Oryzias latipes: one gene and its partner. The protein of the gene in region 2 purifies or fractionates together with the protein of the main gene of each other region. This does not show direct contact. Links are inferred from orthologs where the notes say so. Each region holds a gene or a part of one and is shown on either strand. Other genes may lie near its edges.

The links.
Region 1: the proteins of pinx1 (region 2) and tert purify together in Homo sapiens (co-immunoprecipitation; 3 studies listed by BioGRID and IntAct, with this or other methods). This does not show direct contact. The link is inferred for Oryzias latipes from reciprocal best matches to the Homo sapiens genes PINX1 and TERT.

Annotation. Positions count from the first base shown.
Region 1 is NC_019869.2:25,694,988-25,698,805, forward strand, and holds part of tert (telomerase reverse transcriptase), read right to left. Parts: intron 2,764-3,818; coding exon 2,639-2,763; intron 2,155-2,638; coding exon 2,017-2,154; intron 676-2,016; coding exon 572-675; 3' UTR 564-571; exon of another isoform or gene 1-563. UniProt on the Homo sapiens protein: Telomerase is a ribonucleoprotein enzyme essential for the replication of chromosome termini in most eukaryotes. Active in progenitor and cancer cells. Inactive, or very low activity, in normal somatic cells.
Region 2 is NC_019882.2:13,955,409-13,959,889, forward strand, and holds the start of pinx1 (PIN2/TERF1-interacting telomerase inhibitor 1), read right to left. Parts: upstream 3,092-4,481; 5' UTR 3,039-3,091; coding exon 3,020-3,038; intron 2,341-3,019; coding exon 2,231-2,340; intron 69-2,230; coding exon 1-68. UniProt on the Homo sapiens protein: Microtubule-binding protein essential for faithful chromosome segregation. Mediates TRF1 and TERT accumulation in nucleolus and enhances TRF1 binding to telomeres. Inhibits telomerase activity. May inhibit cell proliferation and act as tumor suppressor.

The DNA of each region.
Region 1 (3,818 bases), on a different chromosome or scaffold from region 2:
AAACAATCCTGCTGGTTTCAATGCTAAACCTCAAACATCAGGGTTTTTTATTTCACTTGGCTGCACTTTGTTTGTGTACTTGTGACAGTAAAAGAAATCCCTGGAGGCTGATGACGTTTCCGTGCACATATTTACAGACAAGTTATTTTTAAAGCCTAACCATATCTTCTTTGTGGAAAACTACCGCAGCGAGTGAATCAAAGTCCAGAGATACAGGCGTCTGAGGAATGAGCCAGGCTCCATGTCAGAAGCTGGATTCTTCTCAAGTTTTTCATTCATCAACTTGAGCTTGTTTTACGACACCGGTTTATCACCGGGTTTTATCGCTTAAGTGGTTTTTAAGAGATGACCAAAACATATTTACTGTGCTTTACAGAACACGTAAGATTCCATTTGCTCGTTTAAACAAAAGCCTTGAATGTTCATCATGTCAATCTGAGAGAAAAATTACAACGTTTTGCTTCCATTTTCTTTTCTTTTAATCACTTTAACAAAATAAATCCTCATGTGAAAGCCATGCTGTCAAACTGCCCACACATTTCCGTTCCTGTGGCTGCTTTTACCTGTGGACTCACATCTGCATAGCCAGGAAGTCCAGCAGAGCCCGGGGGTTGGCGGCCTGCCGGACCCTAGCCAGCCTCAGGTCTCCCAGAAGCCTCTCCAACCGGCGCTTCCCTGTCCAGAGGGTGAAAGCAGATATTGAGATATTACAGTTCATCTCCGAACTGTAAAATCCACCCATCTGAGCTGTAAAATCCCATAACAGCTGGTTATAAAACTGCTAAATACACCTGAAAACATTCAGATTGGCCAGCGTGGATACAGCCATCACAGCATCCACCTTTAAGAGAAGATGTATTCCAGGAAAGTTCCTGTGTTTTCATGTTTGGTCTTTCTGTAACAGCCGTGCTGCAGTTCTGACCATAAAAACCCAACGCCAGAGTTCATGCTCGACTGCATCACGGATATTCCTGTACGCCTCTCAGCTGATGCCACCTTCAGGCAAAACCCAGCCTCATCCAGGAGATTTCAGATTCTCCATCAGCTCAGCAAACCTCTCTGTCTCCTGAGGACAGATGTTTTATGAAGAAACAAGTTCAGTAAACAGAGTCCTGATCCATTCTCAGCGAGCAGCTTTGTCATGATATTCATCAATAGTGCCAAAGCTTCTAAACCCACATTCAGAGAAAAGAAATGTTCTAAAAGAATCCTCCTGAATTCAAACACGGGATTGAATAAAGAACTCAAAGATCCCCTCTAATCGTCTCTTCATCTATTGTTAAAGCGTTCCCAGTGGTCTTTAAATCGTGATTGTCATTTTTGGACAAAATTTTTTAAAAGCCGAGTCATTTTCTAGGACATAGTTTCTGCAGAGCAGCAGCAGTTCTTTAGAAATTCACCCACCTCTGAGTTGTGCACAGAGCAAGCCCACCCCCTTCCTCTCCCATTGCTGAGAGCTCTTTGTTTACACGCTCACCTGCTGGCTTACAGCCTCTCTCACCCCCAACCTAACATTAGCAGGGCACCAAACGTGTTAAGCAGTATCAGATCTATCCAGTCGTACAGTTTAGATCCAGATCAGCTCAGACCAGGAAAACAAAGACAAACATGGATCTGTTGGTCTGACAGAGGATGATCAGAATGGAGCAGAGCAGGAAGCTTGAGGCTGCCCAGCGTATTTTCTTCTTCACAAATATGGTCTTTTTTAAACGACATTTTTTATCTGCTCCTGGTTTAATGCAATCTGAATAAAGAAATACTCAGAACTACATTTTTGACCTTCATCTTCTTAACATATGTCCTCCATCATCAGAAAAACGGTTCAAGAGCAGTGAAAGCCTTTGGCTGATCAAACCTTTGAAAGGTCAAAATGATCTGCTAAAATTCTCAAAACGCTGCCAAGTTTTGTCTTCTGCATATTCAGCTGATGATTTGAAGTGTTAAAAGTCTTAGAATATTTCGTTCAGGTGTTGAGTGACTTTCATTTTTATACTTAGTGCTTGGTGGAACACCCACATTTGTGCAGGCGTGGCAGCAGGTCTTTGTAGACGGGTCGGTGTTTAGACAGAACCCGCAGGAAGGCCAGACAGAAGAGCAGCTCCACGGCCTCGTACTGAACGCTGCCCTTCTGAGCTCCATCCCCCAAAACCAACCCTGGAGGAGAGAGGGGAAGCTGAGCACACAACCTGGCAGAGGAGACAGGGCTCCAACCTTCTGTTCGGGGTTTCTCTGAGCCATAAAAGACAAAAACACTAAACTGATCCACATCTTAATAGGTGAAGCTGTGATGCAACACTGACGTTCTGGTTTGCAGTCACACTTATTGTCGAAGCACCAGGAGATCTAAGGATCTTAACGGCTTCTTCTTGGTTCTTCAAACCAAAGGTTTGGTGGTTTGTTCCAGGCTTTTCTGAACCTCCCTGTGATCATAGTCATGGTGGAGAGTCTGGAATCTGACTGACTGCTTGAGTTCAAGTGAGCCTGAGATGAGAAACTCACCTGGATTCACTCATCTTCCTCCGCTCTGCATGGGTTTTTCTAGATTTGCTGTTTCTTGTTTTATTATTCTAACAAACCAACCATTAAAATGACTAACAGACCGTTTCTTTGAGCTGGAAAAGAGAATAAAGTAAAGTACCTGTGTTGCTGCGCCTGATGAGAGCGTTGGCATAGTGCGCCATGTCCCAGATCATCTGCTGGAAGTACGTTGGGTTCTTTGCGACCGTCTGGGCGAAGGGTAAACTCTGAACACAGACATGGAACCTGGACAGAGCGGACACAGAGGAGGCTGCAGGTCTGCAGACCAAAGGCTGAAACACCTGCATGTTCTGAGACGCTAAACACCAAAAGACTTTATTTGAACAAAGGATTGGACTTTGAAAAAGTCTTTAAATGAGCAAAAGAGAGACATAAACAGTTTTAAAGTCCGATCCCATCTATTTTCAGAGCGTTCCCAGTGGTCTTTTAGTTAGGATGACGCCACTTTTAGCCAAAATCAAACATTTCTGTTGTTTTCTAGGACATAGTTTCTGCAGAGCAGCAGGAATTCAGTAGAAATTCACCTCTGATTTGTGGACGGGACCGTTGGCATAAAGCAACCACACCCTCCCTTCCCCTCCCCTCCCCTCCCTGCTGCTGAGAGCTCTCTGTTTTCACACTGCTACCTTCCAGCACATCAAAATTCCAACCTAACATTACTGTGAAACAAAAATGGTGATCAACATCGTAGCTATCCAGCCATTCAATTCTGATCCAGATACCAGCTCAGACCAGGAAAACAAAGACGTTCATGGATCCGTTTGTCTGATGGTGGACGATCAGAATGGAGAAGGAAGACTTTGGACCACCGATTGTAGATTACTAGAACTTATTTTGTTACAACTAGAAGCTGTTTCAAAGGCATTTTTCATCTGCTCCTTATTCACAATGATTTGAATAAAGAAATACTGACAAGTGCAATTTTGAGCTTAATCTACTCTATATACACTATTTTACCAAAAGTATTGGCTCATCCATCCAAATGATCAGGTGTCCTCATCACTTCTTCTGGTCACAGGTGTCTTACATTAAGCCCTCAGTCATGCAGACTCAGTTCATATGTAATCAAGGCAGGTGAGCGGATACTTTTGGTACTATAGTGTTTGTCCTCTGATCAGAAAAATGCTCCAAGAACATGTTAAAAACACCAACAGCACCCTCATCAGAGCATCAGAGTGAGTCTTTAATGATAGAACTTAATATGAAACATTAGAGGGTTAGACAATAAAAGTGTCATCTTTATTTTAATGAGCAGTTGAGTGAAGAATTTGGGACTAAAT
Region 2 (4,481 bases):
CCATGATTGTTGTTTTTAACTTTTACTTTGATATGTTCTGTAGAACCTTGCTCACTCCTTCCCAGTCCCTGGAAGTACAAAGAATCAGCTCATATTTATTAATAATCACCTGACTGTAATGGTTATGATGTAACTGCAAAATAACTGCAATCAGCGATGTTTGTAAGTTCCGCCAAATTTTGAAACATCATACTTCTCTCTTTCAAGTTCTGTCAGATTACTGTTTCTGTATTTGTATCAAGCTGAGTGGACATTTTAACTCTGTCTGTTTACGTTATTACACTATCAAAAGGAACAATAGGCACAACAAGCACAAATAATTATTGTAAACTAATGCACTCAAAAGGTCCAACATGAGTTTAAAGTCTCACTCCGATCATTTTTTTCATCTATTTTAAAAGCGTTCCATATTGGCTTTTTTAAAATCATGTTTTTTGGGACATAGTTTCTGCAGACCATAAGAAAATTGCCTCCAAGTTGTGGTTGGGACCATTGGCGCGGTGTAAATCCGCCACTAACTCCCAACATTCATCTGTTAACACGCTTTTTAAACAACGACCCTGAAGTTGGCTTCCGATTCACAGCTTCCGATTCGCGAAGGCACTAAAAGAACATTCCGCTGCATTTTTTGCATTAAGATCACCTTAGACCAGGTCCTGTTCAAAAACCGCTGGACCTGGACTGCTCAAACCTGGATTAAATTATAATTAAGATAGTAAAGAACACATTAAACACAGTTTCTGATTTGTGAAACCTTCTTCTGATTTGTGAAAATGTGAAATAGGTTGATTTTTTATCGCATCTTACGCACTGAGTCCACCTTAGACCAGGTCCTGTTCAAAAACCGCTGGACCTGAACTGCTCAAACCTGGATTAAATTATGCATTAGATAGTAAAGAACACATTAAACCCAGTTTCTGATTTGTGAAACCTTCCTCTGATTTGTAAAATAAGTTGATTTTTATCGCTTTTTCTCAGACAAGGTCCTGTTCATGAAATTTGGGTGGAAATGTATTTTTTTATTCCTTAACACTTTTATTTTTTATACTGCATTGTACTATTGTATTTCTCCACACAGGTACGAGCCGGTGGCCCTAACATATCACCTGGGTGACCAAAATCACTTTGTTGCAATACACAGACTTCTGCCCAGACAAAAGCTTGGACCTTTTACGATGCACTACAGGAATCCAAGAACGCTAGACAAGGCGACATCAAAATCTCAACATTCAAAAGAAACTGGGAAACAGATGTCAGATTGGACAAATAGTTATAGTCATGGTTAGCATGAACCCCTGACTTAAGTTTTGTTTTTTTGTTCAATATTTCTTGGTTTGTTTTCTGATTTACTTTAGAGTTCCTGTTACGGTGTTTTCCTTAAAGTTGTCCTTCCCTTGTCCCCATTATCCTTAAATTGCATAAAATTTGATGAAATGATACTATTTCCCACAGCGGTTTTTGAACAGGACCTGGTCTGAAGTGGACTCCGTGCGTAAAATGCGATAAAAAATCAACCTATTTCACATTTTCACAAATCAGAAACTGTGTTTAATGTGTTCTTTACTATCTAATGCATAATTTAATCCAGGTTTGAGCAGTCCAGGTCCTGCGGTTTTTGAACAGGACCTGGTCTGAAGTGGACTTAGTGCGTAAAATGTGATAAAAATCAACCTATTTAACATTTTCACAAATCAGAAACTGTGTTTAATGTGTTCTTTACTATCTTATTTATAATTTGATCCAGGTTTGAGCAGTCCAGGTCCAGGACCTGGTCTGAAGTGGACTCAGTGCGTAAAATGGTATAAAAATCAACCTATTTCACATTTTCACAAATCAGAGGAAGGTTTCACAAATCAGAAACTGGGTTTAATGTGTTCTTTACTATCGAATGCATAATTTAACCCAGGTTTGAGCAGTCCAGGTCCAGCGGTTTTTGAACAGGACCCGGTTTTACGGTGGTCTTAGTGTTTAGGGCCCTCGCGAATCGGAAGCTGTGAATCGGAAGCTAACTTCAGGGTCGTTTTTAAACAGCATTTTTCCCTTCTGCTTGTGATTCAACACGATTTGAATAAAGAAATACTCAGAAATGTCATTTTAAGCTTAATTTTCCTTAAATGTTTCACCCATCTTAAGAAAAAAGCAACGAGAAAGAAGTTCTGAAAAACAAACAAAAACTATATCTGGATTGCATTCACTTTTAAAGATATCAGCATAAGTTTAGACCGCTTACCTTGCCCTTGGACCAACCCATTCGCTCCAGCATCTTCTGGCCAAATTTAGAGTCATCTTTACTCCAAGTGCTGTTCCTGGGGTCAACCGACCACTTTTGTTTCCTTCGGGCTAAATTCACAAAAGCAGCAGCATTGTTACTCAACAGTCTGTCATTAAATAATGACAACTAGACTAGTATATAGAGCTCAAAACGCAGAGTGAATATAAAACAGTGCTGAAGATAAACATATGTAATGTGCTTTAACATTTTTTATACAAACATCATGACAAAAAATACATCTTGATTTTAATCCAAGGACAAGCAAGTGAGAATGTAGCACACACAAACGTGTAAACTACTATCCAGATCTTACAGAGAGTTCTACAAAAAAAATAATAAAATAAAAAATAGGCCACGATTATTTTTCAAAAAATAAACAGTCAAAAAGCTGATTTACAGCGTTTGCAAATCCTTCAGTGTTCGACATATTTTTCAGATACCCCTACTCTTCCTGCTACTGTAGTCAAGCTCTGTGCTTATAAGAGGCAGCCGGGCAAGTTGAAAAACAAATACAGCGATGACTGCAGTTTGACACATGTTGTAAAGTAAGAAACACGTGTTTAAAGAAACCGATGGGGGAAAATGCTAAAGCTAATGCTAACCTTGTTAACACTTTGTTAATGGCAACTCAAAAAACCGTTTATAATTTATACCGTTAGGCATGGTGCTTTGGCTAATATCACAATGAAGAAAAAAAATAAACAAAGAAAAGGAATATATACACACATGTAAGAGAAAAGTACTTACGTTCAGCTAGCATAGACATCTTGGGTCCTCAGTCTTGTGGACGCTCGAGCATTTAGGTACCTTCCAAAATGCCTGAATAAAATAAATCACTGTTGTCATTTTAAACCTTAAGTATCTGTAAATTAAATAAAATGACATTTTTGTTTACAATTTATATATAAAACAATATTCTTTGACTTTTTTATATTTAAACAAAGACTTTATCACCGAACTTTGCCTTTTACAGCCCAAATGTTTTACCAATAGAGGGCGCCACAGCACCTCAGAGTCCGGTTGGGATCTGCAGTGTTACTTGAGTTCAGCTCAAAAGTCTCAACTTCAGCAAACATGTGAACTTCTCCCACTTGGAATGCCATTCTAGGAACTTTTTCAGGTAATAAAAACACGTGAATAAGATGAATAACTGCTATCCAAACCTAAAATACGTTGTATTCTGTAAGGTCACAAAGAAAAGTGACAAATTTAGGTTGTGGAAGAGTGATTTAGGAACTAAATGACATTTTTAAACTCGGATTTTCAGTCCAAAAAACAAACAAACAGTCTCATACCCTAAAGAAAAACAAAAGATTTAAAACAATTATTTTCAAGGCATAACCAAGACATGTTTTGTGTGGTATGTTTATAAAATGTTAGTAAATTCTGTGGGTATAGGAAAAATACACTCATACTACAAAACATTTGCTCGTAGGTCACAGTCAACATTGCATTGGCCAGAGAATAAATGTACTTTTGCGTGAGGATCAGCACCATAACATGTTATTTTAGCCTTATCTATTACAACTGATCATAACAACTTATAATAGCAAACTTTATATTATCTCATAAATGGATAAAACAGTCTGCAAGACAAGAAATAAAAATTTAAACAAAGTAGGATTGCAATAAATGTCAGACAGGCATTCACTGTATAAACTTTGTGCATTCAAAGAAATTGTAGTTTACTTAAAAAACAATACTAATTGTTTGTGATTGGCTGCGGTTTGTAAGGAGGCAGATTCATGTTAGCTGTTAAAAAAAGAAAAAAAGAACATATTAAAAAAAATGTTGCAGCTAAACACACAAGGGAAATGAAAAAGCATAAAACAGAAATGAGCTCAAATTTGTTCCTCAGCATGTTTCTGTAGTAAACATATGGGGTTATTCTAATATTTCTGTTAAGTTTACAATGTGTACTTTGGTTTAAAGCTGTTTTCCTTTTTTTTAATTCACAATGTCTATTTTCCACATTTACAATCTGGTTTTTCATTCACTGTAACCTGATTCTGATTTGACCCAGCGTAAATGGAGAAAAAGTACCAGTAGGTTTTTTTCAACACTAGAAGCAGAGACCACAGCATAACTCAGCATTTTCCAAGCTTGAAATACAAATGCTTCAATTCAAAAAAAAATATTTGAAATGTTTTCTTTTAGTAGAAATAAAGAGCTCCATAATATGCAAAAACAACTAGGCTTTTTTATGACT